Saccharomyces cerevisiae S288C: one gene and its partners. The gene in region 3 interacts genetically with the main gene of each other region. Each region holds a gene or a part of one and is shown on either strand. Other genes may lie near its edges.

Region 1 (6,216 bases), on a different chromosome or scaffold from region 3:
CGATTTCTACACCTTGAAAAGGGCTTACAACTCTCAAAAGTGTATCAGAGCTGGTGGTAAACACAACGATTTAGAAGATGTCGGTAAGGATTCTTATCATCATACCTTTTTTGAAATGCTGGGTAACTGGTCGTTTGGCGACTATTTCAAGAAGGAAGCTATTACTTACTCATGGACTTTGTTGACTGAAGTATACGGCATTCCAAAGGATAGATTATACGTTACCTATTTTGAAGGTGATGAAAAGTTAGGCTTGGAACCTGATACTGAAGCCCGTGAACTATGGAAAAATGTTGGTGTTCCCGATGACCATATATTACCTGGTAATGCAAAGGACAACTTTTGGGAAATGGGTGACCAAGGCCCATGTGGTCCTTGTTCTGAAATTCACTACGATAGAATAGGTGGTAGAAATGCTGCTTCCTTGGTTAATATGGACGACCCTGATGTCTTGGAAGTTTGGAATTTGGTTTTCATTCAATTCAACAGAGAACAAGACGGGTCTTTGAAGCCTTTACCTGCCAAGCATATCGACACAGGTATGGGGTTCGAAAGATTGGTTTCTGTTCTGCAAGATGTTAGATCTAACTATGATACCGATGTTTTCACACCTTTGTTCGAGCGTATCCAAGAAATCACTTCAGTTAGACCATATTCTGGCAATTTTGGTGAGAATGACAAGGACGGTATCGATACTGCCTACAGAGTTTTAGCTGATCATGTCCGTACATTGACTTTTGCCTTAGCTGACGGTGGCGTTCCAAACAATGAAGGTAGAGGATATGTTTTGAGACGCATTCTAAGAAGAGGTGCCCGTTACGCCCGTAAATACATGAATTACCCAATCGGTAACTTTTTCTCCACTTTGGCTCCAACTTTAATTTCTCAGGTTCAAGATATCTTTCCCGAATTAGCCAAGGATCCTGCATTCCTCTTTGAAATCTTGGATGAAGAAGAAGCTTCTTTCGCTAAGACCTTGGATCGTGGTGAAAGACTATTTGAAAAATATGCTTCTGCTGCTTCTAAGACTGAATCTAAGACTTTAGACGGTAAACAAGTTTGGAGACTTTACGACACTTATGGTTTCCCAGTCGACTTGACTGAATTGATGGCTGAAGAACAAGGCTTGAAGATTGATGGACCCGGTTTCGAAAAGGCCAAACAAGAGTCATACGAAGCATCCAAAAGAGGTGGTAAGAAGGACCAAAGTGATTTGATTAAGTTAAACGTCCATGAATTATCCGAGTTGAACGATGCTAAGGTGCCCAAGACTAATGATGAATTCAAATACGGCAGCGCCAACGTCGAAGGTACCATTTTGAAACTGCATGACGGTACCAACTTTGTTGATGAGATCACTGAACCAGGTAAGAAGTACGGTATTATTTTGGATAAAACATGTTTCTACGCCGAACAAGGTGGTCAAGAATATGACACTGGTAAAATTGTTATTGATGACGCTGCTGAGTTTAATGTTGAAAATGTTCAATTGTATAACGGTTTTGTTTTCCACACCGGGTCTTTAGAAGAAGGTAAGTTGTCTGTCGGTGACAAGATTATCGCTTCATTCGATGAACTACGTCGTTTCCCTATTAAGAACAATCATACTGGTACACATATCTTAAACTTTGCTCTGAAGGAAACTTTGGGTAATGATGTCGATCAAAAGGGTTCTTTGGTTGCCCCAGAAAAATTGAGATTCGATTTCTCTCATAAAAAGGCTGTGTCAAATGAAGAATTGAAAAAAGTTGAAGATATCTGTAATGAGCAAATTAAAGAAAACTTACAAGTGTTTTACAAGGAAATTCCATTGGACTTGGCCAAATCCATTGATGGTGTTCGTGCTGTCTTTGGTGAGACTTACCCAGATCCAGTTCGTGTAGTTTCTGTTGGTAAGCCAATCGAAGAATTGTTGGCCAACCCAGCTAACGAAGAGTGGACCAAGTATTCTATTGAATTTTGCGGTGGTACCCATGTCAACAAGACAGGCGATATTAAATACTTCGTCATTTTAGAAGAGAGCGGTATTGCAAAGGGTATCAGAAGAATTGTTGCTGTTACTGGAACTGAAGCCTTTGAAGCTCAAAGATTGGCTGAACAGTTTGCTGCTGATTTGGATGCTGCAGACAAGCTGCCGTTCTCTCCAATCAAAGAAAAGAAGTTGAAGGAACTTGGTGTCAAACTTGGTCAACTTTCAATTTCTGTTATCACAAAAAATGAACTGAAGCAGAAATTTAACAAAATTGAAAAAGCAGTGAAGGATGAAGTTAAGTCAAGGGCCAAAAAAGAAAACAAACAAACTCTTGATGAAGTGAAGACATTTTTCGAAACCAATGAGAATGCTCCATACCTAGTTAAATTCATTGATATTTCTCCAAATGCTAAAGCTATCACTGAAGCGATCAACTACATGAAATCCAATGATTCTGTCAAAGACAAGTCAATCTATTTATTGGCAGGTAATGACCCTGAAGGTCGTGTTGCTCACGGTTGTTACATCTCCAATGCTGCTTTAGCCAAGGGTATTGATGGTTCTGCGCTTGCCAAAAAGGTGTCCAGTATCATCGGCGGTAAGGCTGGTGGTAAAGGTAATGTTTTCCAAGGTATGGGTGATAAACCAGCCGCTATAAAGGATGCAGTTGATGATTTGGAAAGTTTGTTCAAGGAGAAGCTTTCCATTTAAGAAGTTAAAATAAAACGAAAAATAATGCATAGGAGTTCTTTTTGTTTATTTTGCTCTTAATAAAAAAGTGTCATTGTATAATTAGTCTTAGTTTAATTATTTATGTTTTTACAAGGACAAAAGATTTGCTGTTAAAAAGAGTTTTAAATACCCTTTTTTCTTACATATGTATATATACAGGTTTATGCTAATAATATTGTATAGTTTATCATGATAATCGCCTTTCAATTTTTCTTGTCTTCTATCAACCATTTCCAAATCATATCTCTGTTCTGCTTGTTCTTAATATCATTCTCCATGTTAAATTTCTTCACCTTTGAAAAACCTTTATTAATCTTATTATTCGACAGGTTAGCCTTATTAGTGTAGCTGCTGCCATAAAGTAGCACTCCCAACCGCTGCTTGGTTGATTTCCACCACTTCCGCCTTCGCTTTAGTTTATTTGTCAGGGCAATAGACGCTGATGTTTTAGGATACACACTGGAGTTTGCGGGTGAGTTTGGATACATGGTCATCTTTGTCACGGATCTTAAAGAATTAAAATTTTTCTTGGTGATATAAAGGGCAGAAACAATAGAAAATACCGCCACTGAAGTAAACCCCCATTCACTCTCCTCGATGAAATTCTTTAAATTCATACCATAGAATGCCGGCAGAACAGATGCTACTGTGAATCCCAACGTGTAGATGGTAACTTTCAACTCCAACAACATTAAGGAATTTCTATTTGCGTCCAATATGATGTTGACAATTTCTTCAGTAGATTTGATATCCTGAATCAAAGATTCTGATTGCTGAACGTATTCATCACATTGGGTGTAGTACGTCTCTATAAGCATTTCCAAGTCCGAAAAATTGTCCTTAGGAGACTTCTTAACTGTCAAGTACATGTTTGCTAAATCATCGTCGTTTTCTAATAGTTCATCTAATAGATCTCTAATCAATAAAGTTTTTTGGTAAAAAAGCGTAAGATCTTTGGACTTAATTAAAAGATGCCGCAGTTTAAGTCTATTGACCTCGTTTTCCAGATCATTTAAGATTTGAATACAGATTTGTGAGTGAAGCTTGAAATCTGTTTCCAGTGCGCTCATTACGTTGATGAAAATACTCTCGAGGGCTCTATGCTCGTAAAATTGAGAGTTATTCTTGGTGGAGGACAACTTAGACTCCAAGTCATACATAAGTACACTCAGTTTGGCAGCGGCGGAAGGGTTTGTTGTATCGAAGACGTAGACCTTATCTCGTTCGATAAGAGCTTTGATATGCAATAAGTTGATGACAATACAGTTTGGCTTACACATGATGGTTGGAATAATATCAATAGAGGAGTTATCTATTTTCCTCAGGTCTCTGGGGAAAAGGGAATGTTCAGTTAAAAAGGACCATTTAGGAAACTTCTCGGACATTGAGATAATATTTCCCTTAGAATTGAATACCGTACACGAAATGAACAGTGAATCAGAGGCAGAAATGGGCTTCAACGATAGTAACTGTTTCCGCAATATGGTGCTGTTGGTGTTTGCAGCAGTGGATGTGTCAGCATACTTTCTAAGAAATGGCGTGTTTGGTCTTCCAAAAGTTATTCTCGACAAAGGTTGGAAACAAGATATAGAACGTACCAGGAGACGCCGATTCATGAGATGCTTGATTGAAAATCACTTTCACTACGATTGCGTATACCGTTACTGTTAGCCTTGGTGCGATCTTGAGCCCTATTGTTCTATCATAATGCTGCAAAAAAAAAAAAAAAAAAAAAAAAGAAGAAAAAAAAAAAGAGACAAAAGACTGGACCACCACAGAGGAAAGAACAACATACAAAAAAAAATCTGTTAGGAGTGTATATGTAAGTATGTAGGTATACAAGCTGCTGGTCGATCAATCAAAGAACTTTCTTGTCTTGGAAGGACCATACAATTCCAATCTGATGGCGGGCAATGCCTCTTCACTTAACAATTTCAATCTTTCCTCCAAAGTGTTGTTAATTTCAATCTTGTCTGATGCATTGGAGACCACAACACCGCCGGAAACAAGGTCTTTGTTCAAGTAATCATTGGAGATAACAATCTCTTCCAATGGTGCGCGCTGGGCCTTTTCCCCATACTCACGCATAATGTCGTCCTTCATCGACTCGATTAAATCGACGTCTCTTTCAAGAGCCTTGACAATCGCCTTAGGTTCCAACAACTTCAAAAGTGCCTCCACGATCAATGATTGCAAAATGGGCTTGTACTCGTCCCGGTTGTTGGCAATTCCTGACAACTTTTCCTTGGTTTCCTCGAATATCCCGTCTAGCGACTGTTCACGAGCAGAAAGAACCTTCAACCTCATTTTGTTTGCTATCGTTGACTTAGTAATCTGTTGCGAAAGCATGGCCTTCTTCAACTTGCTCTTGAAGTTGCCGTCAATGTTGTTGGTTTCATTTCTTACGATGTTGGTCTTCTCGATTTCGTACTCTTGGTCAGCCTTCAATTGGATTTCCTTCGCTTTTTCTTCAGCTTCCTTTCTGATGAAAGCTTGCATCTTGTTCAATTCATCGTTCACTTGGTTTGGTGTCAAAGCAGTAATAGCGGAGGACATGCTGTATCGGATGGTGCGTGGCCTGTTCTGTGCCTCTTTTGTAAAACAGTTACAAACAACTTTTCTTGCAACTGCTATTGTTCTTTGCTGATATATAGCGTGAGTTCTTATCGAAATGGCCGCTTTCGCCCCTCTCCGTGGCGGGTGACCTCGGGCGCACTTTTAGCCGATACTCAGTAAACAACAATAGGTATGGACTACGAAAGAACGGTTCTAAAGAAGAGGTCGAGATGGGGATTATATGTAGTTGTTGAGCAACGAGGGACAAGTATGACGAAATTGATGGTTAGATCTGAATGCATGCTGCGAATGGTGCGGCGGCGGCCGCTGCGTGTGCAGTTTTGTGCTCGATGGTTCTCCACAAAGAAGAATACCGCAGAAGCACCCAGGATTAATCCTGTGGGGATACAGTATTTAGGTGAGTCTTTGCAAAGACAGGTATTTGGTAGTTGCGGTGGTAAAGATGAGGTGGAGCAAAGCGACAAACTTATGGAGTTATCGAAAAAGTCGCTAAAGGACCATGGGTTGTGGGGGAAGAAGACGCTCATCACGGATCCAATATCGTTTCCTCTGCCGCCACTACAAGGCAGGTCGCTAGATGAGCATTTCCAGAAGATTGGGCGTTTCAATTCTGAACCGTACAAGAGTTTTTGCGAGGACAAGTTCACGGAGATGGTGGCACGACCGGCGGAATGGCTGCGGAAGCCAGGCTGGGTTAAATACGTACCTGGAATGGCACCCGTCGAAGTGGCATACCCAGACGAAGAGCTGGTGGTGTTTGATGTAGAAACACTCTATAACGTCTCTGACTATCCGACTTTGGCCACGGCCTTGTCATCGACGGCGTGGTACCTTTGGTGTTCGCCGTTCATATGTGGTGGTGATGATCCTGCTGCACTGATACCCCTAAACACATTGAATAAAGAGCAAGTAATAATTGGTCACAATGTTGCGTA
Region 2 (5,716 bases), on a different chromosome or scaffold from region 3:
GCCAATTGCTGGTGCCAGCGACGCATTGAAGCTGTTGAACCGAAATAAAATTCCATATATTTTACTCACTAATGGTGGAGGGTTCTCTGAAAGGGCACGGACAGAGTTTATCTCGAGTAAATTGGACGTTGATGTATCACCCTTGCAAATTATTCAAAGTCATACTCCTTACAAGTCCCTTGTTAACAAATATTCAAGGATCTTGGCCGTTGGTACACCTTCCGTGAGAGGCGTTGCAGAAGGCTACGGATTTCAAGATGTTGTTCACCAAACGGATATTGTAAGATACAATAGGGACATTGCACCATTTAGTGGGCTATCTGATGAACAAGTGATGGAGTACTCAAGGGATATTCCAGATTTAACCACTAAGAAATTCGATGCCGTCTTGGTATTTAACGATCCTCATGATTGGGCTGCCGATATACAAATCATCTCAGATGCAATCAACAGCGAAAATGGGATGTTAAATACCTTGAGAAACGAAAAGAGTGGCAAACCTTCCATCCCCATTTACTTTTCGAACCAGGATTTACTGTGGGCCAATCCTTATAAATTGAATAGATTTGGACAAGGTGCCTTCCGCTTACTAGTTAGAAGGCTTTATCTCGAGTTAAATGGTGAACCCTTGCAAGATTATACTTTGGGTAAGCCTACAAAGTTGACTTATGATTTCGCTCATCATGTTCTCATTGATTGGGAAAAAAGACTAAGCGGGAAAATAGGCCAATCTGTGAAGCAAAAACTGCCACTCTTAGGCACGAAACCTTCAACTTCTCCATTCCATGCGGTTTTTATGGTAGGTGATAATCCTGCAAGTGACATCATTGGAGCTCAAAATTACGGTTGGAACAGTTGTTTGGTGAAGACAGGTGTGTATAACGAAGGTGATGACTTAAAGGAATGTAAGCCTACCTTGATCGTGAATGATGTATTTGATGCGGTTACTAAAACGTTAGAAAAGTACGCATGAAAGACTACTATGGAATATCTTTTCCTGCCTTTGAGCTGTACTGTTATGATAGATTTATTAATAGCTTAAACGCTTTTACAAAATATATGCAATATACATAACGGGTTAAATAATGGGTTGGGAAATTGGTAATCACGGTATAATGAGTACCTGTTTTCTTCTATTTAAAAAAATAAAAACTACCAACTCTTTTTGGTAAAATTAGTAACCTACCAAAGTCAATCGATCAATGCATCTAAAAAAATTCACCTTCACCAAAGTAGACCAATTGACGTCATTTACTGAAACGAATGTGCAGGGTTTACAAGTCATCTGAAATGCTGTCCAAATTGATAGGTTGACCAGGCTTGAAAGCAGGAAGACCCAAGTAGGGACAACCACTACATCTAAAGGCATCCCCTAGAGAACAAGAACCACAGCCGCCAACTTTCTTCCCATCGATAGTGAAATCAATCTCGGTCAACTCGTCTTCTGTAAATTTGACAACTTTATCTTGTTGAGATCTTATATCGTTTATTTCATTTTCTTCCTGTTCTTTCATACCACAGGTGCAATCTTTACAAGCCTTCTTCTTCTTAGTTTTGGATTTACCGCATGTAATCATAGTAATCATTGACTTACCAGAACCATCCTCGTCGATTAATTCTTCTTCTTCAATGGAATCATCGCTGGTATCCACTTGATCAAAATATTGGGCTTTGGAAGAGTCACTAGAGAAATCATCATCATCGCTATCCTCAATCAGGTCGTCTACGACTCGGTAGACTTTTGGTTCAGTGGTCATTTTGAAACTAGGTGGTTTGAAGCTGTCTGTTTCCTTAACTATAGGTTGCCTACTGTGATCTGCTTTTTTGAATGAGGGTAAATTAGAGGTTGAAGAACTAGCTTTTTTAAAAGTTGGTAGCTTACTACCACTCTGTAGCTTAGTATTGTTCGTTTTCTTTTTTTTCAGTGGTATAGAAACAGTTTGGTTTAGTTTAGAGGAATCCATTTTAATCCAGCAATAATCTGGTTCGTTAATTATTTCAAACCCATTGATTAATGCATCTACTTTATAAATATCACTTAAACCAATTAGTGAGCCGTTTGGTTTCAATGAGTCAGCTAAGACAGAAATTAACTTTTTCGGAAACTTAATATCAGTCTGGGCTTCTGGCGTCAAATAGTGTACTGTTTCATATTTTGCGTTTTCCAAAGTTATGGACCCATCATTTAGTTTATTGATTAAAAACTGGTCCACGAACTTGACTTTCTTTGATGCAGCTTGAGCCTTAGTGTTCTCTACTAGCTCTGGCGTTGTAGTCACCGCCGGATGTATTAAAAGTAAACCAGTTTTGTATTGTGACATCGATACCTTCACTTACAGTGTATATGCTTAGATCAAATGTGATGAAAGACTTCTGCTTAGAATACCTTTTTAATATGTCATGAAATTAAATGATTACTAATCATTTCTTTTTTTTATTTTTTTTTTCCAGAAGCTTTTGAATAGTATCGGACTTATTCCGGTACCGGGATATGTCAAAAAAAGAAAAATGAGAAACGAATAGATATTTACCCAGAAAGTAATGAATGTATTTAATGAATTACTGAATTATTAAAATTAGTAATAAATAGCGGTTTATATGAAGAGCTCTATGTACGCTAGTATGGCATTACATACCTACTGCAAGTAAAAAAGGAAAAAAATTTGTGACATTTTGTAAATATGCTGCGTGAATTTGCCTAATGAGTATTTTTCCAGAAATTACAAAACACAAATAAGTAGAATGTGTTTAGTGTATTTGTAATTCATAGACTATTTATTGATGCTTATCTATTATACCTGGGGTTTCTGCTTCGTCCTCGTCCTCGTCATCATCGTCGTCGTCGTCGTCGTCGTCGTCGTCGTCGTCGTCGTCATCGTCGTCATCGTCATCATCATCGTTGTTGTTTTCGTTCTTATCTTCTGTATCTTCTTCTTCGTCGTCGTCTTCTTCCTCATCCTCATCATCGTCCTCTTCCTCGTTATTTTTTGGGTACCCACCCAATTTCATAACGATTTTGTTAACAATCTCATTCCAGTCCATCATACCCCCGAGACCAATATCACCATTTATATCCATAACTTTCTCAGACGGCTTGAAAACAGTGACCCAGGACATTTCCTCCTTTATCGTTTGTAGTTGCTTCTTTGTCATCATAGAATTAAAAGTGCTACTCACCATAGAAGGTGCCAAAAGAATGGGATAACTCGGATTCCAAGCTCTAATGACACTTGTCAGAAGATTGTCGCACAGGCCCAAAGCAATTTTTGATAATGTGTTTGCAGTTAATGGAGCTACTACCAGTATATCCGCCCAGCGACGTAGTTCTATATGAAGTACAGGATCAGTTCGTTGTTTCCATGCGTCCCATTCATCTTGGTCGGTCCATAGTTGAATATGTGGGGGTAACTCGACTACTTGAGCCATGTTGCATTGTCCTGGTGTTGGTGTCACTGGAGTTGCCGGAGTGGATTCGTACTGCGACATTTTATTTAGTTTTTCTGAAGATTTGATAATTTTCTTGGTATATCTTTGTTCGAAAAACTGTGTTGCTGATTGAGTGAGGATAACTTGAATGCTTATTCTATCACGTCCATATATTTCTTCTAGTTTTTTAATCATTGGCTTGATCTTAAATACCGATAACGAACCTGTAGCGCCAAACAACACGTGCAATTTTCCATCATCTTGAGGTAGTCTGGGATCCAAATTCTTGGAGTTCTCTCTTTTGGGGATGATGGAAGGAATGACGGACTGCTTCACTGGCGTTTCTTCCGGGGTAGAACGCACATTAATTTGGCCTGAAACATTGTTAGCTTGATCTTGTGCATCTTCCTTTCGAAGTGTAATACTGGTGGGGGCTTTGGCGGTTACCTTATTATTTTCTCTACTTATTGGCGTTGAAGTGGCCATGATTTTGTCAGGCTTCATGGTATCAACTATTTTAAGAGCACTGTCTTTTTTCTTAGGATCATAATCTTTCATTTCGTTGACGAGTGGAGACCCAGATAATTGCGTTGTTCTTGAAGTGTTGGTGTGGTTCGGTATAACTGCATGATTGCCAGGAATGGAATTTGAGACAGGAGCAGGATTACTATTTGGAGACTTGGTCCTTTCTGAGTCGTTCTTCAGCTGAGTCAGACTATCCTGCTTTTGCTGTTGCTTTAGATCACTGAAAGTGACGGCGGGGACTCTCTTCAAACCAGGCTCCGGAGTATTACTTACTACTGCGCCGGAGGTGCCGGTGGCATTCATAATAGATTTCGTAGTCGTGGTAGTAGCATTCGACAAAGTAGGGCTTATTGATTGCCTCCCTGACACGGGGGAGTTGATTATTGAATCCTTCCCCTTCGCATCCTCATGGTCCAACAAAATCTCTTTCTGTCCACGCGAAAACCTTGGACACTCTATAGACTGGTTATGGTCAGCATCTTGCTTCCCGCTAGTAGAGGCGACGGCAGTCATTGCTGTTTGCTTCTAGATCTTTCTTCCCTATTAATTTTTTCCTAACTAATATTTCTTTATATTTTATCCCGGAATATAAAGTAGTATGACAGCAAAGAAGGCCAGGCTAAAAAAAGATCTCTCCAAATGTAACTGGACGGCGCTGATAAGTGGACAAGTACAAGTGAGGGATCGTGATCCAAGAGCACTCTGTGACTTCTTCTCCTCTAATATCACCTCCCCAGAAAAGCATCGATGCCATTTTTTGCAAGAGAAAAAGTTGCGTGCGTCACTGCCCACGAGCACATGGGGTGAGTTATATAACATAAGAATATTGCTTTGACTCATGTTAAAAGCAAAAGAAAAAATAATAATGATCATTAGAGATACATCAAAGACGATCATGGCATTAACCCAGGGTACGTGTGTTAGATATGATAGGGTACCCCGCGCGTATAAGTTACGCCTTGAATGATATAACACGTTAAAGTTTCTAGATCACGTGAATCATTACCATTTTTTAGGTCATCCTACGGATAATGGCGAAACCACATAATTGCTTTGTAGATCTCTTTTTATGCTGGATGGATGGCCCTCTGGAATGCATCCTTCACGAACACAATTTATGAAACCTCAGGTTTGATGCTCCGGAAAGCCTATTTCTCACGTTTTCCGGCACTTAATGCGCATATAAAAACATAGTCTCTACGTTACGAGGATTTATCATAGAACCCAAATCAGCAGTAATAAATTTCCACGGTCAAATTAAACTCTTGTCGTTGATATGGGTGTAGTGTGATGGTGGTGACCACTATTTCGCCTTTATTAGTTATTTATATGAGTTAGCCCTCCGAAGAACTCATCCTTGTTAGCTCAGTTGGTAGAGCGTTCGGCTTTTAAGCGCATTTGCTTAAGCAAGGATACCGAAATGTCAGGGGTTCGAGCCCCCTATGAGGAGTTCTTTACTTTTTTAGATTCGGCGTTCAATGCTAAAGAAAAAAAATGAAAATAAGTTTCAATTAATAGTGAAAGAAAAGGAAGGAAGTTAGAACTGAAATGCGTAGACTACCTCCCCCAAATTTTTTCTTGTTTGGTTGCATTATTTCATGAATTCAACTAAAAGGCTGAAAATGTCAACAACCTTTCATGATTATGACTTGGAAGAGCCATTAACCTCAAATGCCAGACCACTAAAGAACTCCGTTATTACAATCCGAGTAATAAAATCTTTCCCATATAGAAACGTCAAGAACATAGTGCTGCACGATTACGA
Region 3 (5,489 bases):
TGAGATACGGCTACAAAACTCATACCTTCAAAATTCCAAGAATATATGGCTGCACCGAACATACCATGTTCTTTTGAGGGAATTATATGCCACTCAACGTGGTCACTGTCCTTTGCTGGAATGACGCCATTTTTCGTTATATAATATATTGGGATGGACAAATCGTGTAAATCATTACTCGAATAAACAAAAACAGTACCAAGACTTTGACATGTAATATATATTAACTTTTGTTTGTCAGTCGTGTCAGATATCTGAATTGTTGCCCCGAAATGCTGAAATGGTATTTTCATAGGGTACCCGTCAAGGTTAATAACGCCCTTAAAAGTTGAGATATCAACTACTTGATATTTGTCTGAATTGGTCAAATAGCTTATTATGGAAGATCCTGGGATAAATGTTGCAATTCCAGTTTCGTTGGCACCATAACTTGGGCTTGACACCACCAAATCAGGAATCTTATCATCATAAAAATTACCTGTTACAGCAAATTGTAACTGATGTGCTTCTTCGGTGGTCTCATCCTTGATTGTCAGTATTTTTACTCCTTTGAAGTAAAAGTCGATTGTACAGGTACCAGGCTGTGAAACGAGTAGGTAGTCAACATCACTTGCCTTGTATGTCCCGACCTTTGAACCGTACATGGCAGTGATGGGTTGTAAAATGCTAAAATCCTCTTTTCTTGCTACAGTTAGAATATCCCATGGAACTATATAGATTGCACCAACTGTGTCTTCAAGTGGTGCACTTACAGCGAGATAATCCTTGTTGTCTTCTCGAAATTTTCCCATAGTCAGGCTTGTGCCAAAATCGGAAAATGATTTCATGGGAGATACGACAATGTGGCTATTTCCCTTACGTGCTTTTAATGAAGAGACCAAAGGTCGTGCATTTATCCGTTTTTGTGATACTGGCGGTAAATTAGCACATAATCTCAGTTCTTCTGCTTGAGCTTCATTAGTATTCTCGTCATGAAACAAAGTCTCGAAGAAAGGCACGCATCTTTGGAGCATTGCAACCAAATTGGACTGCCCTCCTAGCCAATGATTCAGTATTAGATCATTAGCCCTGGGGGATGTTGAGTAAATATTAGTTAACAATTGGTTTCTTTGAGAGCGGAATAGGTACCCTTCACTAATAGCCGCTGCCATTCCTCTTTTAACGCAAAATTCCAGTTCTGCGTAGGACAACTTTTCCTTTGAAAGTCCAGCGTTCCTTATAATTTCCATTAAATCCTCTTCTCTGGGCAATTTCCAATCAGAGCGAGTTAAAAAATCCCAATTTTCGTTATTATTACTGTCACGGATTACATTATTTAAGGTGAGGAATTCACCCATAACGTCTAAAAACGTATGAGCAGTTTCAATATCTCCATCAAATTCTGTTTCGCTGAGAACTCGGAGTAGTCCGTGCATTCTATAATCGGTAACTAACGAATGCCAGGAAACATCAACTATCTGATGAGTGAATACCCCTATTAAAAATGACTTTAGTGCGAGTGAGCCGTGAGTTCCCCGAAGTCGATCGTTCTGACCATACTTTTGCTGCCAATAAGATACTGCAATCATTAAGAAATTGGGCCAATGAGTGAATTCTGCAAAATCAGACCAATCCTTATTTGAAGGTGCACATGAGTACAAAGCATCCGGAAAGAAAGAACCAGCTTTCAACCAAGGATAATAGTTTTCCTTTAAACTTAAGGGAGCACCTCTTGTTAAATAAAATAGATGGGTAGTAACTCCAGCAGCTTGCAATTTTGTTACAATAGAAGTAGTTAAGCAAATAATAGAGACAAGTAACCAAGAACTAATTATACTCATCTTTATTTAATTCCCTCTGAATACATGTTTCTAACTAACTAACCAAGGAGGGCGCTTGAATGAATCTTTTTTTTTTTTAGAAATAGATTTACCACTCTTAGAGTTTCCGCTATAAATAATGGCAGCTTGCCTGCGTCCGAAATACCCTTTGGGTATACTAAACATAGATATATAAAGTAATGAAGAAAAAATGAAAACTTTTCGTTGAGGGAAAGAGCTCAAGCTTTGGGATTATCAAATTAAATTTGTATATATAAATGTACATAAAGTCACAACAGGAAAATGATAATATACACATAATCTTCTGAGATGCAAAATGAATGGAAAATAATATGACATGTAAGAACCAACTAATACGTCATTAGGAAATGTTTTGCACATTCATAAGCTGTCCATGATATAGCAGTAGCCGGCATGTTTGCCACTATCCTTGGTTTCCAACCTCTCCAAAACCCTTTCCAGCCATAAACTTGATATATGGCACTGGCTGCTTTACTAAAAGTATCCGCCTTTCTCATAATTTCCAACGAAACTGTTTGACTGCCCCTTATCTGCAGTACTGTCTTTATGCAGTCTAAAGGTGTTGTGATCGCCGCACATGTCGATCCGCTGATACTGCCACACAGACAATGTATGAGGGGGTTGTACTCATTTGATGGGTTTAAAAATTTTGTGGATGATTCATATATGACGAAATTAAATGCTGCAAATGGGATGTTCATTACTAGGGTGGTTGGGTAAGAATAATAAAATGCTGCCAAACCTTCAGATTGGTAAATCTGCTTTGTGGTTTGCCATACTGATGCCGAGGTATTGAGTTGGATTCTCTGTTTTATTGTGTCGAATGGGTTCATTAATGCGTCAGATGCCGTGGTGGCACAGGCACCACTGATAGCTGTCTTAAAAGGATGGTGCGTTTGCGTATCACTCGAATCGATAAGATTTTTTTTGCAGAACTCATACGTACCAAAATACACTGCATGCGCAGGTCCCGCACCTAGTATGACAGACTGAACACCCTTCCATAGGGCTAGAGTTCCTTCGGAAGTAGAGATGTGAGATATTTGCGAAAGCATATTCTTGGCAGACAGCGATTTCGCGTTGGCTGATTGTATTCGCGTCTTAAGGGCATCTATCGGGAACATCACTGAATGTTCCATTATACCAGCAAATGCACCCGCTATAAGTTGATGGTACAATGGCGCGTGGGTGGGGAGCGCCTCATAATCGGGTAGATCCATAGGTATTGCTGGAATTGGCCTTGTTGAATTATTACTCGACGAGTTTTCTACCATAATATCTTCTTTTTTTATAACATAAATATATTTACAGCAAACCTTAAGAGGTGTTAACGAATATGGGAATCGTGATTAATTAAGTGAAGTTACGATCCCAAGATAAAATAAGGAAGTTGTTGAAAGAGGAAAGAATCGATGAAGAAATGAACGACAAAATTACTTTTGTCAATTGTAGGGTACGAAACACCAAGAAATGCAATAAGTGCTATGTAAAGGTGATCCAGTCTTGGTTAGCACACACGCCCAGTTTCTCGAGAGACATAATGACAGTAAACGGTGAGTATAAAAAAAAAGCAAAAAAAAAAGAAAAAAGGAGCAATCGTTCGTTACAAACGATCTAGACTTGATGAAAAAAAACCCTAAAATGTCTCAGACCTAAAACAAAACCCTAAGAAGCACGTGATACAAACCTGTCACGTGCAACATTATGGGGTATGGGTGTGTCACACATTTGAAAAAAAGTGGGCGGAACGTGTGTGGGGGGGTGTCATGCCATTTCCACATTTGGTTGCTCTGGAGATAAGATCCACGAATGAAGGTGAGGGGCATGACTTCAGGGATCAATTTCCCGCCCGCAAGTTAGTTTTTCCGGTGGGAGCCGAGCATCAAGCATGACCACTTCCTGGTGCAGAGAGAAAGTTTCACACATATAAAAGAATAAACCGAAAGTAATGTAGGGAGATGTTTAATGTGATTTTTCACCTTTGTTTTAATGATTACGCACAAGTTTAAATATTACATTCATAAGACAGTAAATAAACGTATTAAATGATCGCCCAAAGTACCAGATTAGCCGCCGCCGTCTCTTCTTCAGCCGCCTCCGCGGGTGTCTCAAGGATAGCCGCTAGCGCCATGGCCAGCACTATTTTCAAGAGATCTCCGGGCAACTCGTTCAACTCTTTTAAGGAATATAGAGAAAATGCCAAGACATATGGTCCCTTGAGTGCCTCACTAGCTACCAGAAGACACTTGGCTCACGCGCCAAAGTTGTAGGCGTATCTTAATTATGCTCTTTTCTTTCCTGGTTTATTAATGATGATGACTTTAACCTATTCTTCTTTTGGGGTCCTGGTACGGTGCCTCAAATTTTTATACAACATGACTTTTTCAGTTACATATTTTTTTATAAGTACTTAATTTAGAAACGGATACATTTACACTACATTTTGTCTATTTTTTTTTTTTTGTTCCTTTTGTTTTATGCTATATTTAAGAGGGAAAATAGGACGGGGCTGCACATTACAACGGTGAATGGAACGCCAGCATAGATAATAAATCTACCTAGAATGTCAATCTTGGGCTCTCCAATATATAATGGACATTCGTACTTGCTTGCACCTTCTTTGTGCGTGGCCTCCAGTCTTTTTCTTGCCGCAACGTTTCTGTCATCCTTCAGATGGAAAACTTTGATCAATAACGTGTAGATCATCGGTTTGCTGATCACGTACTTCCAGATAACAACGCACGGTAGGCCCACCAGCAGCCTGGCTAAGGTTAACCGCCAGCCACAGTTAGGTTCCAAATTGTACACCAGGGTGACTCCAAACACTTTGCCCAACCAATCACAGCATTCAATACCTGACACAACGCCCATGAACGCAACACTATCTTGGAAGCAAGGACATTCGTCTACGGGCTTAACATGTTTAAACAAAAGAAGAAGACCCCATCCCACACTAAACAAAGGAAACCACCAATGCTCCTCAATGCGTAAACCCGGAAACCTGTACTTGAAATACATCCTAACAATGAAACACACTATTCCAATGAGCCCACCGCTTACTAAATCTAATATGCCATGCATCCCACAGTATATTCTACCGAAAACCAAAGTCATATAATAAAATAAAACCACACATGACAACAATAGTTGGACCATGACAGAAGATTCTTGCATCCTCCAGATGTTGTAGAGAAACAAGAGACTCACTCCTGTTGCATTTGCTGTATGGGAGCTTGGAGCACCATATTCCTTCGTTGTATATTCACTTAACGTAATTCGATGTAATGGAGGTGCTCTAGGCCTGGGCAAGCACCAGTAATCTTTAAAAAAACCACTCAAGTAGATAGAATATCCCAAGATATAAACCATATCTTTTGTTGTTTCAAAATATCCAAACCACACGGGCATAGGTAAACACAGAACATAGAAGGTATGCGATCCCATTAAGGAAGTATAAGTAAAGTAGAGATCATTAAACGCAGAACGGTACTTCTTTTGCCAGCGGCTTAATGTGAATGATTGATTGTTGGTAAACACTAACAGCTTCTCTCTAATATTAAACCGAAATTTGGACATTCGAGTTCGAAAATGATCTGAGGGATGATTACCGGGATCCAGCAAGTAATTAGGCTCTTGAAAGTCATTGGG
Region 4 (6,871 bases), on a different chromosome or scaffold from region 3:
TCTTTTCTTTTTGTACAAGTTGCGGATTACTTCTCTTTGTTTACCTTTTTGCTTTTATTTTTTTTTTTAATACGTGCATATATATATATATATTTAGTTTAGGTCAGAATACAAAGATAATTATGTATAAATGGGCGCATTTGGAAACTATTTTACATACAACTGAACAAGTTCGGAACAATCTATCAATAATCTGCACAATTATATAATCCGATATCGACTTCAGCCTTCATATCTGATGAATTATTTGCGATCGATTCACGTTTTTCTTCCAATTCTTGAATATAACCGTCTTCAACACCAGTGACATAATTTCCGGTAAATACACCATCTTCGAATTTGGTTATTTTATCAGTTTTACAACAATCAATCAAATCTTCCAATGATTGGTAAATGACTCTTTCACAACCGATTACTTCCGCCACTTCTTCATCGGTTCTGTTATAAGCAATCAAGTTCTTTGTGTCTGTTAAGTCAATACCATAAATATGGTTGTAACGAATGGCTGGGGCAGCTGAAGCGAAGTAAACCTTTGTTGCACCGGATTCCTTGGCCATGTTAACAATCTCTTTTGAAGTAGTACCTCTGACAATAGAATCATCCACTATCAGAACCTTCTTACCCTTAAATTCAGACTCCATAGGGTTAAGCTTCCTCCTTACTGAAGAAACCCTTTCCCTCTGGTTTGGCATGATAAATGTCCTGCCCACGTATCTGTTTTTAACAAAGCCCTCTCTATAAGGCTTCCCTAACACATTAGCACATTCTAGTGCACATGTTCTTGCAGTATCTGGGACGGGAATAACAACATCAATATCTTCTGGCTTCAGTTGCTTTAGAATATTTTCCGCTAATTTAGAACCCATAGCCAATCTTGTGTGATAAACTGATATTCCATCCAAGACACTGTCCGGTCTGGCGAAATATACGTATTCAAATAAATCAGGTCTATAAGAGTTAATAGGAACCACTTGTTTGAACTCAGGTTCACCTTTGCTACAGTTCTTAGGGATGATAACTGCCTCGCCAGGCTTTAAGTCACGATATTTAGTAAAGTTGTGAGCTTTGAAAACAACACTTTCTGAAGCTAACATATAGTCCTTAGTGCCGTCCGGATTTTCTCTTTCACCGAACAATAATGGCCTAATACCATTTGGATCTCTGAAACCAAATAATGCAAAACCGGCAAGTAAACCAACGCAAGCATAACCGCCACGGCATAAACGGTAAACACCTTCTAACGCGTGGAAAACATCTTCATTGTTAACTCTGTACTTGTTATGTTTTTCCAGTTCAGCAGCAAAAATATTCAATAGTAACTCCGAATCACTGTCCGTGTTAATATGTCTATGAACGTCTTCATCCATATATCTCTTCAATGATGCAGTATTCACCAAGTTACCGTTATGTGCCAAGTTAATACCGTAAGGACTATTGACGTAAAATGGTTGCGCTTCTGAATTAGCCGAAGACCCGGCTGTAGGATATCTCAAGTGGGCAATACCCATGGAACCAGCAAGACCGGAAACACGTTGTTGGGTAAATACGTCACGAGCCATACCATTACCTTTACATTGGTAGATTCTACCACGAGAACCACAGGTAGCTATACCAGCTGCATCTTGTCCACGATGTTGTAGAAAAATGCATCCATCACATAACTCCGGAGCTACTGGAGTGGTTTGGTTTGCTAATACAATACCTAAAATACCACACATTTTTTCTATTCTGCTGTTTGCTGTACCTCTTTCTTTGCTAAACTTATTAGAACGAAATCTACTACTTTCAAGACGATGTCTTCGCAACTATGACTTAAAAGTGAATAAAATTGTACGGTGGCTGTTGAAATTTTTCTAAAATGAAAAAAAAAAAAACGAAGGACTTTACCTTGACTTAATAATAAGAATCTGAAAAGTACAAACCTATTATTGAAATTGTAAGTAAGCAAACTTTAAATACACCGAAGCTCTGACATTTGCCGCATGAGCAGTCATTCGGATTCATGATCCCAGATTATATTTTATTATTCATGTTCGTTCTAACTCTGTCCTGTTATTTTCGGTCAGGAAGAGTCAATACATCGGGTCATTGAAAAACCGCGGAGAAAGATAATAACTTTTCTTTTTTCCTTAAATCTTGAAAAACTTATACATGTATAAATCAATATTTACTTACGAGCGTTCATAGTTCTTGCTGGTCTTTTAGTTCATTCTCTAAATGATCCAGATCTTCTTGTATGGTCCAAAGTTCGCGGTACAATGACCCTGGCATAGCCAACAGTTCAAGATGCTTACCTTCCTCTCTTACTCTTCCGTTGTCAAGGACTATGATCTTGTCTGCATCTGCAATTGTCCTCAGTCTATGTGCGATGTATACACTCGTTCTCGAACCCGAAGTAAAGTTATCTCTAATGGTTCGTAAGAGAGCTTGTTCTGTGTGTGTGTCCAAGGCGCTTGTGGCCTCGTCAAAAAACATGATCCTTGCATTCTTCAATAGTACCCTTGCAATTGCCAGCCTTTGCTTTTCACCACCGCTGATCATCAACCCTCGCTCCCCGACGATGGTGTCAAAACCTTGTGGTAATTTCTTGATTAAGGGTGCTAGCTGGGCTTTTTCAACTACAGTTATCACTTCCTCGTCGGTTGCGTCAATACGACCGAACTTTACATTTTCCCAGATAGTGTCATTGAAAAGTGGTGTGTCCTGTGGTACCACACCAATCACCTTCCTCAAGGCATCGATGTCATATTCTTTAATATCTCTACCGTTTATGAGGATCCTTCCGCTTTCAGGATCATAAAATCTAAAGACTAATTTTAAAATGGTGGACTTCCCACTGCCCGAAGACCCAACTATTGCGGTTTTCCAGCCTGCTGGGATGGTAAAGCTGGCATTCTTTAAAATTTTCCTATCGGGATGATATCCAAACGTGACGTTCTCAAAAGTAATATCGTAGGGAACATTTTCTGGAAGCATTAAGGGACGTTCGGCATTTTTAATCTTGACTTCATTTTTTCTTAACTTAAATAGCGTTTCCATATCAATCAGAGACTGCTTTAAATCTCTGTAAACACTACCAAGAAAATTTAGCGGTACTGATAGTTGAAAAACCAACTGATTAATTAGAACCAAGTCACCAACTGTCAAGTTGCCACCAATAACGCCGGTGCAACCCATATACATCATTGCAGTTAGGGCAGTAGTAAAAATTAGATTTTGGCCGGAGTTCAAAAATGCTAGAGATTGCGATACTTTAATTTGAGAGTCACGATAGTTCATCAAGGAGCCATTATACTTATCTGCAAGATATTTTTCATTGTTGAAGTATTTTACCGCCTCAAAATTAATTAAAGAATCTAAAGCCACACTGGCAGCTTTGTTATCGGCCTTGTTAGCATCCCTTCTAAAATGTGTCCTCCATGCGGTCGTCTTTATAGTGAAAATGGAGTATAAAAGCATTGTACTGAATGTTATTGCGGCAAATGACGCACCGAATTGATACGTCAAAATCCCACAAACGACAGATATTTCAAAACTTATAGGGATAATGTGGAATACCATGGCCGTTAACACTTGAGATATACCCTTTGTACCTCTATCCATGGCCCTCGTCAGACCACCCGTTTGTCTACTCAAGTGCCATCCCAAATCTAACTTCATAAGGTGCTGGAAAGTTTGTAGCGACACAGTTCTAATGGCATTCTGTGCCACTTTGGCAAATACGGCGTTCCTCAGTTCGCCGAATAAAACAGAGCCGAACCTTGCAACACCATAGCAAAGAATGGTTAATCCAATCGCTGCCGGAAGGGCGACTGTAGGATCATCCCATGCTATATTCATTGAATCAATAGTTTGCTTGAAAAAAAAAGGTACTTGAACATTTAAAATTTTGGCGGATATCAACAGTCCAAGGGCAATCAGTACCCTTATCCTCACTTTATTGTTGCCTTTGGGCCAAATATAGCGAAATAGATCTTTCAAGATTTTCAGTTCCGAGAGGGTTGGGGCCTTGCTGGTCTTTTTTACCTGAGTCTTCACTTTTGGAGCCGACGAGAATTGCTCGACGGATTTTTTGTGCGTAATATCCTTTTGTGCTTGATTCCATAAATTCACAGCTGAATTGAATAACAGAGGCCGCTGGGTTGATAACTTAGACACAGTAAATATAACGGGCGAATGGTTCCGGATTAGACCAGATCTAAATTTTGATCTTACAATTCGCCCAATTACAGGACATCTTGGAAGAAGCAGCATTTGCAGGTTGGAGTGGAATCTATCAACAACGATATACTTACGTTGCTCTGTCGCAATTTTCGAAATTGTACTCTTTGCTGTGCTGATTGCTTTGTTTGCGATTATTAATGTAGAAAGTCATCGGAAAGCCCTCGCGCTCTTTCCCAGTGAAATTTCACGTGATGTAATCTGATGAAGGGCACGTATAGGTCAGTGACCTTTGCTGTGCAAATTGGGTAAGGTAATTTCTTTTAAAGACTTTAAGAATGGTAAAGTGAGGTACAACAACATATTATAAGACTTACTTGGTATGTACCTTACCTTCCTTAGATATTTTTCATGCTGCGTAGAAAATTGCACCATCTCCAATCGTCACTTTTATACATTTTCAAAAGAATATAGATGAGTATAGCAATATAGGGTTTACACATATGTACAGAAAAGCAGAATAGTAAGTTTTGTTTCATCACTTAGATAGGTTTTTAATTTCTTCTTCACATTTGGTAATGACTGCATTACTGGCATTGATTTTACCGGATAAATAGTCCAATCTGGTCTTGAAAAGTTTCTGATCAGGAACTTTCCCCAAAGGTTTTAATTCTTCTTCCCATTTCTTGATTCTACCAGTTTCAAAACCCACAACCTTTAATAAGTAACGGGTTTTTAGCACTTTTGCGAGTTCAGGATCGTTGATCAAGTATGTGAATGCTGCCCTGTATAGCGGTTTGGCAGGCCTGATTTCCTGTAAAACACCCCTATCTCTAGATACAGTTATTAAACCATTATTCTCCAATTCCATGATTCCCGTTTCTGGTGCGGCTTTGAATAATGGCTTGTTAACGATTTCATGGAATGGAATGACTGGGTTCGCACTCAATAATTCGATTAATTCCCAGGCTTGTGCACTTTTATTGCTGTCAATCTTGTCACTTAAAAACATTTGAGTTATTTGCTCAGAAGCCTGTTCAATCATTTTGTCTACTGCTTCCGAGGGCTCTTCTCCTGACTTTACCCTTCTTACAAATGCCTGTAAGTCTAACATCCTACCACCCAATGGCTCTAAAGAAGCGTCAATTTCCTGTAATTCCTTTTCATTTAAAATAACCTCAGCTTTTTTGACACTCGTATCGGCCTCACTATCAGAATCATTATTTTCAGCAGTTTCCTTTTCTGATTCAGGTTCTTTTACGTTTTCACCCTTGGATTTTTTATTGTAATATAAGTAATCCTCCAATTGGGATAATACATAGTTCCTCGAATTCTCTTTTGAGGCATCTGATAGGATTAGGTTTTTGAAGACTTGATTGGGTAGTGATTCGCTCAATCTTTGGTTGGATGCAACGGTTTCCGTTAAGAAAATCACATGAGCAATATTCATTTGAACTAGCATAGCTGCCCAATCGGATAGTTCCTTATACACAAATCCATTTATTTCCGACTTGCCCTCAAACCTATCTATGACGATAACGGGTTTAGCTTCCGGATGTTGCTGTAGGTAATCTTCTTCCTTAACATTAACTGTCCCATCACCGGTGGAAACAAAAGCCTTGTAATTCTTGAGAGCAATACGTCTAATGGACATCAATGAGGTAGTTAACATGTTTCTAAACCGAGATTCCTTCGTCTCAGACAACCCAGTTTTTTGCCCTGTTAATCCTTGCACTGTTAAATCAAGGACACCTGTGACAGAGTCAATCCATGGGAATATTGGGAAATAACCCAATTGACTAGCGGCATTTTTTAAAAACATAGGATCTGTTCTGGACTTAATCAATTTATCACAATCCAAATACAAAACATTTGCTCTATTTTGCAAAGTGTGTTGCATGACCAAATCATGTTTCCCTGAACCTCTAGGCCCCCTTATAACCACAAAAGTATTATTATTTTCTTCAAGCCACATTTTCAGGTCATTCACTTTCTCTATTCTTTCCTCCCATAAATGCTTTCTTTGGTGATTATCATCAGGGCCGCCCCAGTAGTACTTGATAGAAGTCATGGTAGATGAGGTTAGCGTTTTCAGTTGTTTCCAAAACTTATTGTCCCACGATAAAGAATATTTGTGAGTGATCTTCTGTTCAATCGAAAATTCTCTTATAGGATCAAACACTAAAACAGCAAAGATTGAAAGTAGCGCAAATAAAACTGGAATAGCAATCCTTGTATGGTTGGTGAAAAAATTACTAACTAGATGGCCTCTTCTGATATTTTCGTATTGTATGTGTAAGACGGTATTATGAATTTCGATACCGGAAACACAATTCTTGGCAGAAATGGCACCACGGAATGAACGGTATCTTACCTTTGCCACATTGTTGTTAGCAGCAGTGGGAGGGAAAATATCAATAATTGTCCCATATCTTCTGAATAAAGAGTATATTTCTTCTTCTGTTAAGGCGGGCCCTTGGAACTTGATGACTATAGTGGTACTTGGTAGTCTTCTTAAATCCTCAATCCAAGGCGAACCCTTTACTGGGAAGGCAGAAGCTCGAGTGAAGTACGAGAGTAAGTTTTTAGAGGATTCTCTGGCTGTATTCTGTTGGATTAGAGAATTTACCTGAGCTTTTGTATACTTGGGTGGAACGACAAATGTGGCAAATACACCACCATCCCTTTTCACTGGAATGGTAGACTTCAA

The links.
Region 1: of MRS3 (region 3) and MRS2, extra expression of one rescues a mutant of the other (dosage rescue), as found in Saccharomyces cerevisiae (2 studies listed by BioGRID).
Region 2: mutations in MRS3 (region 3) and DRE2 are lethal when combined (synthetic lethality), as found in Saccharomyces cerevisiae (one study listed by BioGRID).
Region 4: of MRS3 (region 3) and ATM1, extra expression of one is lethal in a mutant of the other (dosage lethality), as found in Saccharomyces cerevisiae (one study listed by BioGRID).

Annotation. Positions count from the first base shown.
Region 1 is NC_001147.6:942,700-948,915, reverse strand, and holds MRS2 (Mrs2p), read right to left. Parts: upstream 4,321-6,216; coding exon 2,908-4,320; downstream 1-2,907. Other genes in the region: ALA1 (alanine--tRNA ligase), read left to right, coding at 1-2,683; VMA4 (H(+)-transporting V1 sector ATPase subunit E), read right to left, coding at 4,559-5,260; DNA-directed DNA polymerase gamma MIP1, read left to right, coding at 5,531-6,216. UniProt on the Saccharomyces cerevisiae protein: High-conductance magnesium-selective channel that mediates the influx of magnesium into the mitochondrial matrix.
Region 2 is NC_001143.9:573,660-579,375, forward strand, and holds DRE2 (electron carrier DRE2), read right to left. Parts: upstream 2,322-5,716; coding exon 1,275-2,321; downstream 1-1,274. Other genes in the region: YKR070W (uncharacterized protein), read left to right, coding at 1-973; phosphopantothenoylcysteine decarboxylase complex subunit SIS2, read right to left, coding at 2,776-4,464; YKR073C (uncharacterized protein), read right to left, coding at 4,528-4,848; AIM29 (Aim29p), read left to right, coding at 5,550-5,716. UniProt on the Saccharomyces cerevisiae protein: Component of the cytosolic iron-sulfur (Fe-S) protein assembly (CIA) machinery required for the maturation of extramitochondrial Fe-S proteins.
Region 3 is NC_001142.9:158,245-163,733, reverse strand, and holds MRS3 (Fe(2+) transporter), read right to left. Parts: upstream 3,116-5,489; coding exon 2,171-3,115; downstream 1-2,170. Other genes in the region: YJL132W (uncharacterized protein), read right to left, coding at 1-1,820; DPI8 (Dpi8p), read left to right, coding at 3,887-4,111; sphinganine kinase LCB3, read right to left, coding at 4,317-5,489. UniProt on the Saccharomyces cerevisiae protein: MRS3 suppresses a mitochondrial splice defect in the first intron of the COB gene. It may act as a carrier, exerting its suppressor activity via modulation of solute concentrations in the mitochondrion (possibly of cations).
Region 4 is NC_001145.3:865,374-872,244, forward strand, and holds ATM1 (ATP-binding cassette Fe/S cluster precursor transporter ATM1), read right to left. Parts: upstream 4,255-6,871; coding exon 2,182-4,254; downstream 1-2,181. Other genes in the region: ADE4 (amidophosphoribosyltransferase), read right to left, coding at 186-1,718; YME2 (Yme2p), read right to left, coding at 4,700-6,871. UniProt on the Saccharomyces cerevisiae protein: Performs an essential function in the generation of cytoplasmic iron-sulfur proteins by mediating the ATP-dependent export of Fe/S cluster precursors synthesized by NFS1 and other mitochondrial proteins. Hydrolyzes ATP.